Lytechinus pictus: one gene and its partners. The protein of the gene in region 1 purifies or fractionates together with the protein of each later gene. This does not show direct contact. Links are inferred from orthologs where the notes say so. Each region holds a gene or a part of one and is shown in the gene's direction. Other genes may lie near its edges.

What was found.
Region 2: the proteins of histone deacetylase 11-like (region 1) and autophagy-related protein 2 homolog B-like purify together in Homo sapiens (co-immunoprecipitation; 3 studies listed by BioGRID and IntAct, counting the BioPlex papers as one, with this or other methods). This does not show direct contact. The link is inferred for Lytechinus pictus from reciprocal best matches to the Homo sapiens genes HDAC11 and ATG2B.
Region 3: the proteins of histone deacetylase 11-like (region 1) and PAX3- and PAX7-binding protein 1-like purify together in Homo sapiens (co-immunoprecipitation; 3 studies listed by BioGRID and IntAct, counting the BioPlex papers as one, with this or other methods). This does not show direct contact. The link is inferred for Lytechinus pictus from reciprocal best matches to the Homo sapiens genes HDAC11 and PAXBP1.

What each region holds. Positions count from the first base shown.
Region 1 is NC_087247.1:25,632,828-25,640,425, reverse strand, and holds the start of histone deacetylase 11-like, read left to right. Parts: upstream 1-4,597; 5' UTR 4,598-4,797; coding exon 4,798-4,892; intron 4,893-7,598. UniProt on the Homo sapiens protein: Responsible for the deacetylation of lysine residues on the N-terminal part of the core histones (H2A, H2B, H3 and H4).
Region 2 is NC_087251.1:38,311,810-38,319,312, forward strand, and holds the start of autophagy-related protein 2 homolog B-like, read left to right. Parts: upstream 1-4,430; coding exon 4,431-4,598; intron 4,599-7,503. UniProt on the Homo sapiens protein: Lipid transfer protein required for both autophagosome formation and regulation of lipid droplet morphology and dispersion.
Region 3 is NC_087248.1:6,350,421-6,357,825, reverse strand, and holds the start of PAX3- and PAX7-binding protein 1-like, read left to right. Parts: upstream 1-4,390; 5' UTR 4,391-4,546; coding exon 4,547-4,781; intron 4,782-7,405. UniProt on the Homo sapiens protein: Adapter protein linking the transcription factors PAX3 and PAX7 to the histone methylation machinery and involved in myogenesis.

The sequences.
Region 1 (7,598 bases):
AAAAAAATAGAATTTCACTTTAACATTGCCAAAATATCGGTAAAGTTACCAGGTATCGGTTTAATTCATTCAAAACAGTATTGTATGGCGGTACAATCTGAAAGGTTTACGCCAAAAGCATTATATTGATTACTCGTCCCCCAAAACCAACAAACATGTTTGAGTTTAAATAGGTGACAAGAACGGCTGGACAAAAGTCATGAAATTTAACGATTCAGTCATGTATAATTTAAGATATACTGTCAGGAAAAGGAAGCTTTGAATGATTTTAGGAGCTAAGGGCCATGAAAGATAGAATGAAGGAATTGTGATCTGGCCTGTCAGTTTTCGGAAGATTCAATCAATGAATGTTTTAAGGTTTATTCAAGAATTTGTGAAAGCCTGCCCTGAAAATCTGATACTTGAAACACATTTTTAACCTTTTCTGCCCCCTAAGAAAAGTGAAACGCATCGTACATGATTAAATCAACAAAATAAAATTCATGTCCCCTTAACAAAATATATGACATAAACATACACCCAGCTGCACATGCATTTACGGGGGTTGTCATTATCACGGAAGGACATAGCTCTGGAAGCAAATTCTCACTGAAAAAATGCTCCTTAATAATAATGAAAAATCAAACAAACTAAAGAAGAATTAAATAAAAACGCTAACAATAATAAGCAGAAAGGCTTCCTTTTCCCCTCTCACGCACACGCTCACACATTCAAACTCTAACCAATCTCTCTTCACTCTTCCTTTGATTTATCATCACCAAACACTCTCCAATGACCATCGTCATCATCATGGCCTTCATTTTCACCATTGTCACCGTCATCCTAATCCTCACCATCTCCATCTTCATCATTAAAATTATAAACAAATATTGCCATTCTGCTTTATAAATGTTTTAATCAATTTAATGAGTGTTAATCCGGGCTTGTCATTTTTGTTCAAAGCAACAATGACAATCCTCCTGCAAACTGTATATGTTGAAATTATTTGGTAGTAGATCAGATCTGTTTCGAATGACTTTTTATGTAGTTCATTTTTTTAATGATTCATGCCAAAAAACACTAAGCAATATATTATGTTTGTTATGTAATGAAACATGTATTACATATGAATGTTATGATTGAAGAAGAAAACAATGAAATCAACTCAAATCTCGTACCACACATCGCCTCAAACACACAAAAAAGGGAGTGAAGAGAAACAGAAAATTACGGAAGCTTGTAAGTGCCGTCTATATTTTATCGTGCCAAGCACTACATGGCAATTTGCCAACTATAATTTGAGTATGTTGCCATGTCGACTTCGAAATCATACATCTTACCATGGAGACGTCTTACCAAGTCGACTTTTAGACAGTTACATGTCGCAATGGCAATTTAGTAAACTTCAAAAAGGTTTATAGGTCGTCATGGCGACATAAGTCATTTCTCCAAGTCGACTTTTAGAGACTTAGATGTTGTCACATCATAGAGAGTAAAATGATAAAGTAAACTTCTGGAAATTTATACGTTGACATATGAACATAACTTATCTTTCTACATCGACTTTATAAGAACTTTGTCACTATGTCAGCATAATGAATTTTGTGAAGATGACATTTTTGACTTTTTTAAGAGCTTGAAAGAAAATGAAGAAAATAATTTCGGATATTCTACTAAGTGTAGTGAGGACTGGTACCAGGGGCGGCGATCCTAGCGGGACTGTGGCACAGCCCCCCTCAACTTTTTGAAGCACTGAAAAAGTGCCCTTTTTATGCGAGAAAAATGCCCCCTCAAAAACATGTACTGTGCCCCTTTCACATGCGGACACATTTTAGGTGTTACCAAGTGCCCTTTCTCTTTAATATAAGTGCCAATTAAAAAAAAACCTCTTGAATATGTTTTGTGCCCTTTCCACCTGAGAAGGACCTGTTTTATGTGTTAGCAAGTGCCATTTCTCGCATTAGTGCCCATTTTTACCCAAAATTGCCCCTCACGAACGTGTTCTTTGCCCTTTTCACCTGAGAAAGACCCGTTTTATGTGTTAAAGAGTGCCCCCTTGCCTTCTTGTAAGTGCCCTTTCTTGAATCAGTGCCCCTTATATGTATAACTACTCATGAAGGAAAACACTTGTAAGAATAATCCCGCGTGTCTTAAGTTTCATAAGCCATGTGAGTGGGGGTAGATAAGTCTTTTTTTCTTTGTTTTAAGATAGTGCCCTTTTCGAAAGAAAAGGTGCCCGTTTCCCCTGTGCCCCCCACTTTTAACTTAGCTCCGCCGCACCGCCACCGACTGGTATTCATATCACATAATAATATTTATCTTATCTAAATAAATAATATTCTGCCCTTTTAAATCCCCCTTACATGTAGCATCGGCTTCAAAAGAATGACTTTTAGATCAGGAGTAAATATTTTGTAGCTTGATGTAATTACTTCCAATTTCATAACACCTTGTCCGAAACAAGTACAATACTAAAAACTGTTTTGAAATCACGTTCATGCAAAATTAATGATTGCCGTGCGGTCCAATGAAACTAACTGGTCAGTTGGCTGAATATATACTCCTTGCTATCTACTGAAGATAACATTCAATTTTATCTTCAGTAGATAGCAATGAGTACATTAGACTTATTTGACGGTGTTGAAACGGGGTTCTACACCCGCTATTCTTGAAGATCGCTATAGTCGTAATCGGAAAAGGGGCCTTCATTCATAAAGGCCGCTGTTCATAATCACATGAGAGGGTCAATAATTGTAATTGAATAAGATGGTCGATAATATTAATCAAATAAGAGAGTTGCTAGTCATAATTTAATGAGAGGGTCGCTATATATTCACAAGCAAATAAGACGGTTAATATTCTTAATCAGGGTCAATAATCCAAATTTTTGATAGGATGTTCGATTGTCTTTATTAAATGAGATGGTTGCTATATACCTGTAATTGAATCAACCGATCAGGAGAAGGATATGCAGAAGCTAAATTCCATTTAATTTTACAGGCGATTTCAATTTATAATAACAGTCGTACCGTAAGTGAAACTGAAACGCATAGTACACACCTAAGTATGATGGAAACCCATGCAGGGGGGGGGGGTAATGTGACGGCATCCTAGATGCGAGAGGCGTAGCAACCGAGCCAGAAAATCGTTTTAATCAGTGAAACTTATACCATTATTTTTACCTTAAAAAGATACCCTGCATCGAAGGGACAATTATGATATACATAAGTTTAGAGACCGAAAGAAAGTCTACTATTTCATAAATGAAATTTAGAATTTTAAACCCCAAAAGCGCTGTGGAAAAGGGCAAGAATAATAATTTAGTTTTCGCCCGTCAACATGAGCGTTGTACCTACATGTACAACACAATACATAACAGTACTATTGATATTGTAGTAAAGAGATGAATGTATGTTATATGCCTGCGAGAGAGCGTAACGACCGTGTAAGAAATTTTGAGTTTATCTTGTGAAACTTTTGAACCCACGCAGGAATCAATTAGGGCACTTTAGTAGAAATTAGTACATTTACCCACGACACGGTAACCAAAGGGCCTAAAGTGAGACATTCCATTGAATGGGGCCTTTCTTCAGGAGTAGAGGTATCAAGTGTGTGTGTGTGTGTTTTTTTTTTTTTTGGGGGGGGGGCTATTTAATCTTGCACAAAAATGCCCCTTCATTGAATCTCTTATTGATAGGGTTCCAAGTGCCGAGTTTTGGGTCATTTGGTGAAAATAGCATATATATTATTTTGCTTATGATACGGTCTTGAAGGTCCAAATATATTCCAAGGTCCCCTCCCCAAATTTCCTATCACCAAAAGCAAAAATGATTTTTTTAAAAATGGGAAAAGGGTGAAATAATTTTTTCAAATTGTTGGAATCTAACACAAAATATGCTTATCATATTAAAGAACGTCAAAATGTTTGCTCGCTTGCTTCACTCGCTTGCAACATTCTAGAAATCTTGCTCCATAGGCCTATATGTTTTGCCCATTTCCAATGACAGAGCCCCGCCTCCAATTAACTCTTACAAGAAAATAATTAAAAGACGAAAGCCCTTAAAAACTGCGTGATAAGAGATACATAATCAAGCTGATATAATTATGTTATAACTTTCGACCATTATTTTGCTATAAAATATAGGCCTAGATAGGAATCCATTAAAAAGTTTTATGAATCTAGATTATTTCTACGCATCTTTTTTTTTTATCCAGCGTGTTTAAACAATAAAAATAACAATTATGCTTGCTTGAAACTAAGATTCATTTCATTATCATTCTATACAAACTTGCATACTTATATTAATACACAAAACAATATTCATTTTTGTGTATGTGCATAAAAAATATACATTTTCAGGGTTGAGAAGGCCGACCCTCCCCGCTTAGAAGGAGAGCCCCCATAATGGACCCCACATGCCTGTAGTCGTGAGTGCAGTGAGCTTTCCAAAAAATCTTAGTTTGATTGAAAAAGGAATGAATCCTAGCCAACATTTATGTAATAAAATAATGAATTAAAATTATAATATCAAGAAAAGGGAGGTGGAGAGTTTTGGTTTACCGAGAGTTTACATGACATCCATTGACAGGTACATGACGTCAATCATGAATATTCATTAGTACGGTACCGTAAATTTGGCGAACATACGGAAAAGCTGTGGCCTGTGCGAGTTATTAACGAACGGTCCTTTCCAAAACCCGGGCCCAGCGCGGCCCCGATCACGATTGTCTGATTTTCGCTAGATTGCATATATTGCGACGTATTTTGGTTCAGGTGCTACCAACGATGTTCCGTATAGGTCTACAATTTCTACAAATATGGCAGAATCTGGAGACAGTTTGCTAAAAACCACAGACGGAGAAGTTGTATTAACCGAAGGAGAAAGGAATGGGAATAGAGAGAGTAAACATTGGTAAGAAACACGAGAAATATTCTGACAAAAAAAAAATCAAAATCATAAATGGAGTCTGGACTCTGGAGATGATTAGACTCTTTTAACGTTAGAGCCGCCTATTTTAATTTTTAGGGAGTAAAATAATTCACTATTATTAAACGATAACGTGAGCTTACAATATGTTAGTGAATGATTTTTACTCTCTAACATTAGGAGCCTCCTGGCCAGGGGCGGAAATCTTTCCCAAAAGGTAGGGGGGACAAGGCAGGGCTGGAAAATTTGACAAGCAAAAAAAAAAAAGGTATCATCCCAAAAGTAAGGTCATCTCGTCCTAAAATACATGTTTTATTTCGATTTTTAATGATGTATTTCTTACCATCATAAAAGACCACAAATAGTACTTAGTAGGGGGGACATTTGATAATATTGTGTCCCCCTACTATTTTGAGTAGGGGGGACACGTCCCCCCTGGGATTTCTGCCCATGGCAGCTCCTGGCTAGGGATGACTATAGGTCTAGTCTAGAATCAAGATCTAAAAATTGTGACATTAAAACTCAGAGTCAAGAAAATAGTGTCATGTTTTTAGATGATTGATGGAGGGGGGGTGGGCGGAGATACCTGCCATTGGACAGTACAGTGACAGCATCCGCGACAAAGAAAACATGGGAAAAGGGGTGTGTATTTTGTGGGAAGGTGCGGAACATGAATAGGGGGTGTTGCAAGAAAATAATTGCAATCGCAAATATTCTGTTGCAATTCTACAGTTGATTGATCACTTTTAAAGATAAATTCCAGTTGTGGGAATGATCTCAAAATGACTTTTTACAGAATTTAATATAATGATCACCAAAGTGTCTGTTTGTATGAATAAAAAATATGTGCCAAAGGATTCTGGAAGAAATTGTGTAATTGCTGAGAAATAAGCAAAATAAGCGCGGATTCGGTCACTTCCTTCGGGTCTTTATTCCAGCAATAATAATACACTGTCCCACGTGTGCCTATCTGTGTCGGCGATCTTCAGTGTGATCATTTTTTTAGCTAGATATTATGATTCCACAAAGTTCAGTTTATGTAACTGTACCAGATCTAGATCCACGATGATATATCAATACTTTACCTTGGTTTTACAGACTTTCTCACGAAATCAGTGTTTTACTGCAACTACGTTCATTTAGCTTTAACAAATCAGATTACACTCCTTGTTTCATGGAGCAGATGAGCAATCAATTAATTGCATGGCGTATGATTGATTTCGGGAACGAAAATAGACTTGCAATTGATCGCAAGTTTCTTGCAACGCCCCAAATGAGGAAAAAAAGAAAAGTCCCCTAGATCTAGATCTCAATGGTCTGAAATGCGAACACTGATATGTCCGCACTCCGCACTCGAATATACTGTACCACTACCAAACACAGGGTATGTTTAGTGCATGCTGCATCAGTGGCCTGCATCAGTGGCCTCATTCACTCATGTTCAGTCATTGAATCACCCATGGAAACAACATGCGCTGCGCATAGAAAATCACAGGCACAACGCATGTAACACGTCCATGGGATTGTGTGAAATTCCAATGCCTAATCACTACATTAATAGATTTAAACTATAAACTTACCGAACAATATGAAGTCACTTTCCCGCTTTTTCATCCTTCTCTTGATTTTTCCAAATGATTTTTCTTGATGTTGACGAGAGCCATTTAACTGTCAAAGCGATATAGGAATTTTTCACCTTAAGAGGGTGCACAATTGACACTACATCATGGAAAAGATGAGGCACTCAAACTATTTTACTAGCAAATCAATGCAAAGTGTCATGCAAGTCGGCAATATGTTCAGTCTTTTCATTGTAGATCTATAGACTTTGGTATACCGTTTGTTGACAAACGAACAAAGGCATGTATGGTTGGAACTACCCCTTATCGACCACCTAATCTGCAAAAATATTTATCAGTTTTTCCTTATTTTTCACAAAACAGTGATATGCACAACTTGGTGAGTCAGTCGATGATGTCCATCACTCACTATTTCTTTTGTTTTTTATTGTTTGAATTATACAATATTTCATTTTTTATAGATTTGACAATAAGGACCAACTTGACTGAACCATATAGTATTAAACAATGCTAATTACACATGTTCAGGGAGGAATTAATTGTTGTATCACTTGACAATGAGGAGAAAATTATAATATTTCATATAATAAAATACAAAAGAAATAGTGAGTGGATGACGTCACAGTCTCCTCATTTGCATACCAGCCAGGATATATGTGCATATAACTTTTTGTGAAATTAAGCGAAAATTTTTAAAATGTCATAACTTTCTTATTTTACATCAGATTTTGATGAAATTTTCAGTGTTATGCTTGTTGGATTTTTCTCTTTTTATTCAAATAAACTTTTTGTTGGGGTGGACTTGTCCTTTAAGGATCCAGGCTATGCCTTGCCTACAACACACTAGTGTTAAAGGTGCAAGTGGAAACCAGTTGTTGTAGAGAAAGCCAATATGTGTAGCATTGGCTACAACACTGAACTTCTCAATGGCTAAATTGGCCACTTTGCATTCAATTATGAGAAGTTAAACTAAAGGTTAAACTAAATTTTTTTCAAATGAAAGTCCATCAACTTATATGTAGTTAATTATTTAACTATTAAACATGTATGCAAAGTACATGTATACTTTGTAGGCAGAGTTGACTTTTACTGTTTCTTGATGGTTCCTGCC
Region 2 (7,503 bases), on another chromosome or scaffold:
TTAAATTTGCAGCGGACGGGACATTTCAAATTTATATTATATTTGCCTACTTCTTTGTATTATGATAAAATGTAATAATTTCCATTATCTACTACAGAAATGTAAAAATAGGATTTGCAACTCATTTCATGTGTATCATCACTGCTGTAACTTATTCGGTTACGAGGAAAAAATGTTTTTTCTTAAATATTTCATAGAAAATGCGATTATGACATCATTATTTATTTCTTTACATATTCACGAAGACCTGCATAAAATCAGTTTATTGAAATGGTGCACAATTTCACATTTCAAACAACTCCCTTGTTTTCCATCCGATTTGGATGAAATTTTCATTGTTTTAGTTATTTGACTGTACCTTTTTATGTCAAATGTATGTTTTGGCCCGGAGCATTCCTTTTATTTATGCAGACGATTCTAAACAAATATTTTGTGTTCAAGAGTTTAATATTGGTTCCATTTACTTTCTACTGTAAAAAAAATCCACAATCGGATGATGTATATTTATATATTTTATCTAATCTCATTTGATTGTAAACTTTTCGGATTCAATAAATATCTGTAATTTTAATGAATGAAATAACGATATTTTATGAACTAAACACACATAGATCCTATCCCAACAAACGATTAAATCTTTGAATATCAAGCAAATGAGAACAACACAAAATATAGTGGCATTGGATAGAAAATTCACAGTCCTGAGGTTTTACTTAGAAGTGGGCCCCCCCCCTCCAATCTCTTTTTTCTTCCCACTCTATGTACCTCCCTCTCCCTTGCCTCTCCTTCTCCCCGCTCCCTCCCCGTCTCTTCAAAATCACCGATTTGACATCAATTTATTTTAAGTTTTAGTAAAATTTATATCAATCATAATATGCACATATCACCGAGTGAAGAAACATAAGGCTCAAGAAATGTTTTCACAATCCTTGTTTTTGGGTTAGATAATTTCGAACATAAAATCTTCAGCAATACAAAAAAAGAAAACCGAATAAAAATTAAATTCTGATATAACTGAAGATAGTACAATTTTCAATGCATATTTTATGTATTTCAATAAATCTCATAACCAAACAAGAAATGAGATCTTTTGTATGCTCATAAATTTATGAAACGAATAATTAACAGCTTTTGTACAAGCAAAATATATATAAACACACAGGACTTCATTATTTAATGCAATCTTTAAAGGATCTGTCAAAACATCCGATCTATTCGTGAATGTGTCCGACGAAAACACAATATGAAGGTCAATATTACCGAATGATAATTGTTAAAACGTAACAGAAGTTTGACTGATTCTTACAATTTTGGGGGTGGACACGTGCATATTCACCAATATATCGGTTTTTCTCATGTAATCCTTCAGAGTGTATGGTCGAAATAGACACAGATCGAATAAAATTATTTATACTCTTGAAATGAAAATGATTCGACTATTCAACGATTCAAACCAGAAATAAATTCGCAATGATTCTAAGGTCAAAAATTGATATACATTATTATACCATCCCTACTTGGTAGAACACGGTGTGTGTATCACAGAGAGTGCATAGCGTGGAACACAATGTGAACTCACCTTCACACTGTTTAATTTGAGCATTTCAACAGTGTTAATCACATATTCAAACATACAGTCGACTGTGTGAACACGCTCACACTCGAGCTGTCCACAGATTGAAAATATAGCTTCACATGCATTGTTGAATTTGAGAATTTTAACAGCTAGTGTGAATAATATTTTCACATAGTTCACTATGTGAACGCACATGTGATCACATTGTATTCGTTCCAGCGGGGATATTCTGGTCACATTAACCTTTAATTCATTCATAAAATGGAATGGTGTCAATTTTGACTGCAATCGTATAGTGCCCTTGGGATTCAGGGTTACAGCAAAATAATTATATCAGTAAACATGAAGGGTTGCGGAAGGGTTGTTTGATTGACTTGGAATCAGTGTTCAGGGATCGTGCTGCAACTCTTAAAACAAATCACTTAAAAGTGATTAGCTGTAAAAGAGTCAGCTGGATCGATGCTATATAGTCTCATTTTACTACAACAAAGTAATTTCGGATACACCTTGCTGACTATACTAATCTAGTCAAGTTTACTATTTTTTAAAGAGTGTTGGGCGTTGATGTCCGTGAGATCTGAACGGTGTGTCTGTAGTCATATCTGACTATGTTTTATTGGCCCCCATTCTTCACGTTATGTAAAATATTGTTAACTGTAAAATGATAGTATTTACATGCAAATAATTTTTATATATATACATATTTGGCGCAGATTATCTGCTCTCATACGTTCACATGTATATTGTTCATAGGTGCAATGGAAATATAAATTTAGATTCCATCTCTGTGTTAATCAAAGAACCATCGTGTTCCGTGAATGTAATCTAGAACATCCCTCTTAATTAACCTAATTAAACATCAACATACATTATTGGTGTGGGGGACTGGAGCCCTCCCACATAAAGTAAAACTCATTATATTTCAATAACTCTTGTTTGAAAAACATGATTTTCATCAGATTTCCTTGAATGTTTTGGCCGATTTTACGTTTCACATGCCAAATCTATGATAACTTGATAAATGTGGGGTTTTTTTGCCAATCTTTATTACTCACTACCTTCGCATGCACGCTCTCCAGAGAAAATGTAGTCGTCAAATCTCAGCCCTCAATATCAGTGCACCATTTCGACACAGGCGTGACAACATTCCCAAAGGTATAATATTGCCCATTGGGATCTCATATGCACGAACATGTAATTCATATTTTTCTTGTTTAAGTTATTCTTTTCATGATTCAATATTTTATGTTTCAATAAAAATCGACTTACCCCTTCCTTTCTCCATCGCGAAGCCGAAGACGACACCGGACGCAGCCGTCATCAAGAGTTTGACGCTGACCGGAAACCCGTGTTTCGTCGTCGATGACGAGATAGTTGACGATGACGACGATGGTGGTGCTTTCCTCGGGGTTTCCCCGTTTACCGCGTGATGCGGGATGCTGCCATTGGATGCCGTTCCGTTCACGAGCCTGCCTCCGGAGTACTTACTGTCTCCATTTTCACAGTACTCTGCATGAATTAAATGACCGTTCGTCGTGAAACCCTTCCCATCTTTCACTAACGGAGACAAAGTCATGTTCGCCGATTTCATGAACGGCACATTCCCGTTGGCGTCACAATCTGCAGGCTCACATTTAAAAGATCTCTGGCGGGCTCCTGTGGTCATCGTGATCGTCGGCGCCGATTCCATTATGATACTGTCCCCCTTTTTTTCAGACGAAGAATACCTGACGATCGAGAATGAAATCAGAATGAAAGGAGATGATATTTTGTGTTCAGCAAACAGCCTATTAATATTTGATCATTCCTATCATGCCTTGCCTTTATTTGAGAATAAATAATCAAAGTTTAAAAAAAAAATGATGGGAGTTAGACTTTAGAACTCCACACTCAGTGGAGCACTGTTTGATCAAAATAATTTAGCAGCAGTAAAGAGTAGTCAGATGCTGACCCCGAGTGTATATTTGCTCTTGACGTTACTCTTTTCCGCCTCGTCGCGAAAAGGGTTGAGTTTGAAAGTCAACTAAAAGACGGACGGCAGGGCAGATAGATCCGAAGGAAGAGAGAAGAATAAAAGTAAAGGACGAGGAGAAAACGTGCTGTGATGAAAGACAGGTTTGATACCAAGTAGAGGGAAATTAGAGAATGCGTGGGCAAGAGAGCAGAGTTGGATGCCTGATACTAACGAGTAAATCGAGAGTTGGACTTGCGGATCGTTTCGAGATCTGGTGGGCGGGTGGCTACTGAGAAAAGTTGAGGAAAGTAAATGAACTCGCGTGCTGCTAATCAGGAGCAACTGGGAGCTTTCTCAGGTGAGATGGAACTAACTTCTGATAACTTTGGGTCATGCAGCCACTTTTAGTAGCTAAGCAAGAACCACTTTAATTAGACATCCAGGGCAGGCGAAAAGCGCTTCATTGTAGAAACAGACATGCGCATAACGACGTTCTCTTGCACGTTTCGTATCTGCCTGCTGAACCCTGACAATAATGGAGTTAGCCGAATTTTCACGATGACTTCGCGCGAGTGTGTCCTTGAGTTCGCATGAACTTTTTCTTCTCTTTTTTGAAAAAAACTCAAATGCTTACGATTTGTGCGCGAGCCTGAATTAATGACACACAATAGTATTGAAAACGTCACCCTCCCTGCGTGGAAAAATAAGTAATGGAAACAAAGCTAAAGCGAGACGAAAATGTAAACGCCCTCTCTTGGCGAAAATGAAAATCATAACAAATTGATAAACATAGAAAATGGCCGAATGACGTGAACGAACTCATGGGGAAATCCCAAACATCGATCATTAGCGGTTTCTGCCTTATTTTCTTCGTTTTTTGAATGAAGTTCATCGAGTAAAATGCCGTGGTACTTCCCTTGGCCTGATTACATAAAGAAAAAGGCATGCAGGTATTTACTTCAGCGATATGTCGGCAATTTCTTGGAGGAGAAATTGACTCTCGATCAGCTGAGTGTGGATATTTACAGTGGCACTGGAACAGTGAAAGACGTAAAGCTTGATGTCTGGGTATGATTCTTTTTGTTTTGACTTTTTATCATGTACCTACACTACAGGTCTATTTATATCTATAAAAATAGTTATAGTTTTTTCCACAGCATGGGCTTCATGACTGTTAATTGAATGAGTGAGTAAACTTATAGTAAACTATTGGCTAACCGCTCTAAAAAAAAAGTCCAATCAGATGATCTGGCTGGGGATTTAGCTCCTGGGCAATCCATATGATTGTATCACGAAATTGTGATATTCCCATTGGAAATGTGTGTATAGGAATTGCATGCGTTAGTAATGGTAATGGCTCTTATCATGTATCTTTGTATGATGTGTTGTCCATATTTCATGCTCATTTCTAAGAAGTAAGATAACATAATTAGGCTTACCTTTAGAATCCAATGTCATGAATCGATTACAAAAATCTCTAGATTTTAAAACGAGAAAACAACGGATACGACGTACCGGTACTTGTTAACTTTTTATTTAGAAATTACGTTTTTGAGATAAAAGCGGATACATGGATACTAAGATACGTGGATACACATGGATACGAGGATACGTGGATACTGGGATACGTGGATACTACTACCGTACTGATAAATGGATACATGGATACGAAGATACGTGGATACGCGGATACGTGGATACTACTACCGTACTGATAACTGGATACATGGATACGAGGATACGTGGATACGCGGATACGTGGATACTACTCCCGTACTGATAACTGGATACATGGATACGAAGATACGCGGATACGTGGATACGAGGATACGGGCAGCTGGGATAATGTTTGTGGATACGGGGGAGGGGGTACAGGGGAGTATCCAGCTTTCGCCAAAGGGGGGGGGGTGGAAGGAGGGAGAGTCGTGGGGGTATGTTATACAGGGGAGGATCCATGCACCTTTCGCGAAAAGGGGGAAAAGAAGGGAGAATCAGAAAATATTTTCATCCACATTTCAGTCGGTCGATCTGTCGTTAACTAAAAGTAGAATTTTGTTGGTTTATATTCTTTTCTTGGTTTAACATGGCCCAGTGCAGTACGTGTCTCAGTCATCTTATTTAAAAAAAAAATCATTTTCAAGACAATACAGGCATATAGCTCATTTTTTTGTCCTTGTTTAAATACTTTTCCTTTTCCTTTACGTTGTTTTTCTCCTTTCTTTTCTTCTTTTTTTTTTAAATATATTTTTCTTTTCTCTTTTATATTCTTCCTTTCTTGTCCATTCTATTTTTGTTTCTTTTTTAATTAAAAGAAAAATTGTACAGGCCTACCTATTTTTTTTTAAATCAAATTCTTGTGATTTTCACAGTAAATTATAAGACAGAAAACTGGACTTTTGGTTCGTATAATTAAAATAATATATACATGTATATACCCTTCTTTTTAGAATTGTAGAGCAATATTTTTGCTGTTTTTTTCTCTATAAATCTAGAGATTATGATGAATATGACATGGATTCTGAATGTTTAGGAGGATAAATATGAAGCGATTCGTATAATATAGGCATAGCTCATTTTCTGTCCTTGTTTGAACCCCGCGGGGGGGGGGGGCACTTACATTGACGAGTGGATACCATGCGCGACCAAAAAAAAAACACGTAAAAAGGATGTCTTTTTCACGATAGGGCACGTTATGTACGTAACGTGATAAGGGTGTCAAAAACACAAAAATAATGAAAAAAGGGTATCTATTTCGCTAGGAAAATTACGTGTTTAGGGTCGAATTCGCGGGGATGATAAAACAAAATTAAAATGTTTTATAAAGGATGTCCTTTTTGCCCCAACACTTCGTATTTAGAGTCACGATTTGCGCGAGGTGTAGAAGGTGGGGTCGTACTAAACCAAATAAGGTAAAGCCGACGACCGAAGGACCCGTAACAATAAAACATTCCTGTACTTGTTTTCCTTTACGTTGTTTTTCTCCTTTCTTTTCTTCTTTTTTTTAAAATTATAAGTAAATAAGTAAAAAAATAAGTAAATTATAAGACAGAAAACTGGACTTTTGGTTCGTATAAGGGGCGCATTTTCAGAATATGGAAATTACGTGTTTAGGGTGCTTTTCGAGACCCCATGGTCGCGCATGGTATCCACTCGTGAATGGAAGTGGCTCGCGCTTCGCGCTCGCATTGCCTTTGTAATGAATCCCATTCAAGAGAATTAAATGACATTTCATATATCCAGTTCTGAAATCAATTTGCACACAATGTTTTAGCTCGCACCTCAAGCTTTCATTATTTTGTTTGATTTACACAAATTGTTATATAAAAGTTTCCAGCTCGCGCTGCGCACTCGCATTGTTTGATTTGTGAGATACCTATCCTCTTTGGAAATTCTTTCCAAAATTTGTCAAAATGCTCCTTTATCATGTCAATATACAAAAAATTAAGCTCGTGCTTCGCGCTCACATTTAATTGTTCGAGACACACAGCTTGCTTTTTTAAGGCGGTTTTCCACTAGGGCGCGGACAAGACCAGGAAGGGTTGCGGAAGCTACTTTTGTCATTTCGGCATGCTGTCGGCAACCAAATTCCGTAAAAGATTATGCAAATGATCTTGTCCTAGGACACGATCAGGACTGTCTGCGTATTGTCGTAGGACATTCCTGGAACTGTCCTGTGACAAGATTATCTAAATCAATTTGTCGGCGTTCGGCGCGGACAGCATGCAGATCGTATTAGGACAGAACCGGAGACATTTAGGACAACGTCACGAGTGGTAAATTTAAGGACGAGGACAATAAGAATAATTTTCGGACAAATTGCGAATACTCCAAGAAAATTATCGTTCATATATTTTTTTTTAATGAATTTAGGGGTGTTATTTGGGGTTTGGGGTGCGGTTTTTTTTTAAAGAAACATTGATTTTCTTATTAAATCCGATCTAGGAGCAGGCGAGAATGAAGTAATTCGTCATGA
Region 3 (7,405 bases), on another chromosome or scaffold:
ACCCTTTCATATTTTCAAATGATCGTTGCTTTGATTCCATTCTCATTTGATTAATTTACGTAATATAAAACGTTATCAAAACAATAAATACAAGATAATACGCTGTGGCCTATGTATAAAAATACAGTGAAAACATTGATATTTTTATACATTTGTAACTGTTATGCCATATGTGAATATTGTTGGTAAATAAATAAATCAAATCAAATCAAAATTATTCAAATTAGTAAACAATCATATGGAAAATCATTATTTCTGTATGTACAACAGGCTATATTTCAGAAACATGTTTGGAATGGAGGTTTTATTCCTTAGTTTTACAGGATTTATTACAGGATATTATTTCATTTAGCTTTCCAGTTCCATGCGACTCGCTGGGGGGGGGGGTGCAATTCTTATAAATTTGTTACTGCCTATAGGCCTGTATTCATGTTTTATCAATCTTTTTACTGTATTTTCCATCACGGTTCCTTGAATCTATGAACTACTTGATTTTTGACATGTGCAAGTCTTGGAAGATATTTCTGTTCTTCCAAATATTATTTTGCGCTCGTTCGATTCACTCTCTCGTCCAAACTACTCGTCATGCCGCTGCTGCAGTGCATTACCCATACCTCCACCATGGAGCTATTACATAGCTCCATGCCTCCACCGTGTATTATTATTATTACGAGGAAGTCTGAAGGAGAGTCGTGCATTGAAACAAGTGGGTTGATATTGCTTTCCAAAGAAAGCAAACAAAAAATACCTCCATTTTACGAGGAATAGACTGGTAGGTCGTTGGACACATCAGCGGTGATAAAGACTCAGATATTGACATATAATAGCCAATGATTTATTACTCCATCCAATTACTACCTGACTTTTATTTTCCCGGTGTTTTATTTTCAGATGTCGAGGTATAAACCAGAAGTGAATCCAGAATAGAATAGTAGTCCATGAGGATTTTCAAATGAAAGCCATAGGAAAGAAACTCCAAATGTCAGTTGGCCTATACTCCCTAAACTCATAATACCAATACTTCAGAGACAGCTAAGAGTCTGGTATATTCTATAGCTGAATTTTAAAGTTTCCAATATAAAGGGACTTATGAAGATAGTGTCATTTCACTTATTAATTATCCACAGCGCGCTAAATGAGCATTCCCTTTTTCTCCAAGGCATGATAAATGCATGCAGGTATTTATTCAGATTTAAACTTTGGGGAAAATTGTTTCCCCTTTTCTGAAAGGTTAGGCCTACTGGTGGCAATATTCAAGATGGGTTAAATGAGATAAGCCTATAAGAATTGTTCTTAACCCCCCCCCAAAAAAAAAAAAAAAAAAAGGAAAGAAAGAAAGAAAAAAAAAGAAAGGGGGAATGAAAGCAGGAAACCGTTTTCGAACAAAGTTGCTTTTACGACTGAAGTGAAAGATCGTAGGCCTACTTTGTTCCTGGACATGCTTAACGTATTACCAAGTAATTTTGTTGCAATAAACCATAATAACTACAAAAACGTGAATAAACCCTTGGAGAAATAAGAAACAAACCATTAATATTTTAATCAGATAATATAAATTCTAGTGAGCGCAGTCGGGGTCATTAGGACGTCTTTGTTCTTCTATTCATGGGGGTAATTCAAACCGTTTTCATGGTCAATTCATGGTTAGTTTATGATGTACAAATACGGTTTACGCCTTCCACGTGTTGTTTCAGTGTCCAGGGGTCCTGTCCAATGGACAAATGCCGCTACCCCCTCCCCCCTCTAAAAAGAAGGGGAGAAGAAGGAATGGTGTGGTAAAAATATAAAATCAATGTGAAAGGTCAAACGTGGACGGACGATTATTGAACAGGATAATGATATAAGAACTGCCCCCTTCCACTTGTTCAAAGTGGATGAGGAGTGAAGAGAAGGGGAGGGGGTCTGAACGGTTCCATGACATTTGGACATTTGCTCTGGCGACATTTGCTCCGGCGACCATTGTTCCGATGGAAAATCTGCACGTTAAGCCAAACATGAAACAACCTCCCAAACTAATTAAACCCTAATCATTATTATTACATTATTCTGAACCGAGAAACTACTGCAATCCTAACTCGAACCCTATATGCCCTCTCCTGAGATGGACCGGAGCAAATGTCGCAGGAGCAAATGTCGTGTCGCCGATTGGGTTGACCTTGATTGAAACTTTGATCAACGAGTGAGTCTTGAGTCATTCGGTTTAGAACAAATTGATGTCGTGGTAATGTACGGGTTTGAAATGCCAAACATTTCATTTTCAACTCAGGAAAATTTTTGAATTTGGGAGATGAGCTTTCATTCCACATGCTCAGACGGTTGATTGTAAAAATGGAAAGCGACCTCGATTTGTTTCAGCATGTTCAGTGTATACAAGCAAATACAGTTGTAAAATGCATGGTCAAATGTTTGCAAATAAGTAGTAATCGTCGCGTTTGTTTTTTGGCCATAAAATTATCAAGGCTGCACAATGTGCTCAAGTAAATGGGCCAAGATAATTTGACAACATGGTGTATGAGGTAACATTTCTGAAAAGTTGCGAGCGAGCGAAAATGTTAATCTGTTTGAAGTAAAAATCCATTTTGCGATAGATTTTGACATGATAATCAGAAAATTAAATCATAATGAACCATTATAACTTTTTTTGTTCTTCTTTTCTCCCTCATGTATCTCCAAACTTCGAAAGAACATCTCATGTGTTTTGCACGTTTATTTCTGTTCCCCCAGTTGATACAATTTCATTTTCTACGCTCTCTATAGAGGGCGATATTTCACAGAGAGGAAAGTAGAATATTTATCACTGATGAATATTCTACCCATGCCTTAACAAATGGATAGATATATATGAAGATAGGTAGATATATAGAAAGAAAGAAAGTAGACAGATAGATAGATAGATAGATAGATAGATAGATAGATAGATAGATAGATAGATAGATAGATAGATAGATGGATGGAAATCGTCATTAACAACAGAGTGAATTCGTTTCAAATGGGTCATATGGAAATTCGGCCCAAACTTCTTCTCTCTTTTTTTTTTTTGGAGGGGGGGGGGGGGTATCCCCGGGGGTATCATCTCCGGTCCTTCCCCCATTTTTGTTATCAATACTGTATCATGCTTATACTACTGCCCTGCATTGACAGTAATGATTCATGAGCTAGGCCCTTATCTTAATCTTTTTATGCTATGTGTATATTCTCTCCTTTATTGTGATTTCAATAAAGTGATATCTAATCATTGAAATGGCATGCCCTATACAGAACCTTATTAATTATTGGTTTTGCAACATTTTTCATAACAAAGATCTCGAAAAGAAAATACATATCTAGAATTCGACATCACAGATAATGAACAAATTAAATCATCAAATGTACTATATATAAACAATCTAAGCGGTATTTTCTGTTACCCAATGAATAAAATGGTTGCAAGGGTCGTCACAAACGCAAAGCTTGAAAGCGTGACAATCCTGCATGGAAAATATCAAAAATAATTATCCACTGTCAAAACGTGCAGGTTTTTCCACACACGTTTCAAGCTTCAATCTATTCAGACTTTAAAGAAAAATTTGCATGAAATCATCAATAATACCAAACAAAATACAAACAGCAGATAACATATTTCAAATCCAAAACACTTTCAATAACAATAACAAATACAATATACAACTCTTCTTTGATTACTCCATACAATCCCTCTCGCAACCTTAGGTCTTCTAGTTCTTTCTTACTCGCTGTACCACAATCTCATAATTCATGGGGGGATCGATCATTTCAACATGCTGGGCCTTTCCTATGGAATAAACTGCCAATAGAAATCCGCAATATTTCTTGTCTCATCACTTTCAAAAGTTCTCTTAAAACCTGGTTATTCACGCAAGCTTTTAGGTAATTGTTATTCTACCCCTCTTTTTAGTAGGTTTTCTTTCTTCCTTCCTTTCTTTTTCTTTTTCCTTTTCTTTTCTTTTCTTTTCTTTATTGCGCCATGAGCATCTTTTTATGATGGATACCGGCGCATTACAAATGTTCATATTATTATTTTATTATTTATTAATATAGGCCTAATGATTTAAAAATAATATGGAATGATGAATTCAAACTGAGTTTGCAATATAAAGTGATATAATTTGATCAGGATAATAGATTATTTGCCCTTTGCATAGATAATTTGGATTTGCATAGTTTGATATAGGTCTATTTCAATAGCAGCATTTCTTTATCAACAATTTTCTCTTTTTATAATATTCACATTCAAGTAAGTACATAATGAAAATCATTACCTAGCGCGGTATGTGGAGATGAGGTTGGCTCATCCTAGCTATTCGCTGCTACCGCAATGAATTGTGCTTGTATAATATTCACGGAAATAATACTGCTGCTGAATTGACTATACATATTTGGCATCAGCAAAATCATGTACAAAACTAACGTGCAAACTTCGTCATTCATTTTTGTACACAAAATCGACTGCTTGATTTCATTTTCGGGCATGTTGTACTTGTGGGTCTGAGGACTTAAATCCCCCATTTTCGGCCAATAAAGTATCAAGATGATGAAGAAGAAACGTAATATTCGGCAGAGGGGTAGGACAAGTGACAGTGATGAGGAAAGAGCTGAACCAGTGAGCACAAAAGGAAATCAAATTCCGTTTTTGGAGACGGATTACCACACACAAATCAAACAACTTGAAAAAGAAAAGTCCAACAAAAAGAAGGAAAAGTCCGAGAAGAAAAAGCAAGGATCCAGTTTGCTGACATTTGCTTATGATGAAGACGACGGTGAAGGTAATGGGGTGCTAAAAATTGGTAGTTAAAATTAAGCCTGAGTCGAATCGATTTTAAAATCGGTGTTCGATCGATGTCATCGAACGCCGGTGCAGATTTTGCAATAGGCCTACTCGGTGCATCGAAAAAAAAAAGAAGATCAAACGTCGGCCAGCCGTTTCGTTTGGTTCACACAATCATCAAAATAAACGGTAATGTCTAACTTAAGTACCGTATGGGTACTAGTATTCAACCCGGCATAATTCAAAGATTTTGACATATTCCCCAAAATATTTAGAAATTCAAATAGGCCCTAGCCTAGGGAATTTATCTTAATTTCACACCTTTGTTCTTTCCAGGGTAATCTGTTGTCGATATTTTCTTTGTCAATCTGTCGACTGTATGCGCGGAGGATCGAATTATGCGGCGATGGCCTTTTGCACTGAATGGTACTAGTATTCAACCTAGTGAGGATTGATAGCAAATCTCAAATTCAAAAGGGTTTAGATTGCTAAATTAGATCTAGATCTATGTAAATCTCTGGCTTTGATTAATTCCCTGTTTGGTCTCATCTCAAATGGTCTAGTCCATAGTCGGATGGGACAAGGGCAGATTGAGAGACAGGGCCATCTTTCATCGCTAGGTTGAATACTAGTGCCGACGGGTTGAATACTAGTACCAAAATCCGTCGCCGTAAAATTCGATCGCCCGTGCACACAGTCAACTGGTTGAAGAAAAAAATAACGGAAAAAGAATAACCAGCATTTGCTCTTGGAAATAAGACGGGTCTGAAATTCAGGTAAATTCTATATTTCTATATATTTGAGGAAACTCTCCAAACGGGTTGAATACTAGTGCCCTTACGGTAGGCCTACTACTTGATTTATGTTTCCCCCAAAATGAAACTGTGTAATTATGAATTGGGTCCTAGACTCCTACATGTCCTAGATCTAATTTGAATTGAACTTTATTTCAATCAGAATTCGACTTGGACTTACTTGTCGATGAATTCATGAATGGAGTCGTCGCCATCAATTGCGCATGCGCAGTATACCGGTAGTACTGTGCTTTTTATTTTAATCAAACCAGAAAATTGACGCGATCAACGTACGTAAAAGTAAACCTCGCTTTCAGTTTCATGAACAATATTAACACGATTAAGGTGCTAATGCAGTTTCGCACCGGACGATTACCATTTTTATAAGGCAGTAGAATCTAAAAAATTGTTCACAAATCATGCATGCATGTGTTAGTGGCAAATGTCATATCCCTTTCTTAGGCCATACTAGATATTAGCAAGTCTCTCACTCAGTCTCGGTCGCATTCCAAGGTCAATATACCGACTGCTTTTCCGGATATCGCGATCAGTAACGCCAACATCGCTTCACTAGGCTTCGCCGCTCGCCGTTATGCACCCAAGGGTTCATTACATGCCGCCGCGCACAGAAAAATCAAGCCATAGAACTAGAAGTCGTGTGTTGTGGACAACAGAAGTGAGATCCCAGCACGCGCGACCCACTAGTTCGAAATCCACTGCCAAACGCGGTTCATGGTGCGAGGTTAGTATACTAATACTAACCTCACAATACGTGTGAGTGGCCGTTATGTTGATAATGGTACTGTCACTACTGAAGTTAGCGACCAAAAGACTCGCCTGCGTGCTGCGGCATGCCGGCAGTTTGTTTGCAGCATGTTCACATGATTTGGTTACTAACTTCAGTCCATATCAACATTATGGTGCACGGCGAATCCAAGCGAAGGGATGCATGACTGAGGATTCGCACGACGATGTTAAGAGCATAGCCAAAATGCAGCCGTTCCTGATCACAATAATTGGAAAAGCGGTGGGTATATTGACCTCGAAATGTGACTGGGAGACTTGCTAGGACATTTGTGAACAGTTACTGGTGGTGAGGTATGCTGGTAATCGACCAGTGCGAAACTGCATTAGCGCGCAATATTAATATCATGACCATAGAACATTATTTAGACCTCTAATAGTAATATTTTAACAATAATTTGCATATGATAATCATTTTAAATTCAAATGAATTGAGAGCTTGATGTGAAACATGTATTACATTTTAATTTTGAATGACGGACATCAAATCACGATCGACGTGAGTGCACTTGTCTAAAAAAAATTATCACGTCAGGATTGATTCTCGAACATTGTCAATATGCATTAACTCTTCTCATGATCGTAATATCACCATATGATAACATTTTACATGACAAAACAGAAAATTACGTTTGATATTTTTCCCCATCAATTTGAAGCTCTTTTGTGCTCTTTGGGCTCTGAATTCATGAATGGAAAATACGTCATAGAATGCGCATGCGCATTGTGCTTCTTTTCTCGGAGACGTCCAGAGATGGAATAAAATTAATGACAGTATTAACATTTCCATATGAACATAAAATACTTTACTGACATTGCCAATATTTTTAGTACATGTATGGCTATAAAATCTTATGATATCGTAATATATTTAACATCCAATAATAATTTATATAAATTTAGAGCTCGATCTATGACATTCATATTTATTTTGATCCCTGCATGCTCTTCACTTGTGTCTAAAAATAAATAAAACATGGATTATCAATCATATCACGATTCTCGAACATCGTCATAACTCATA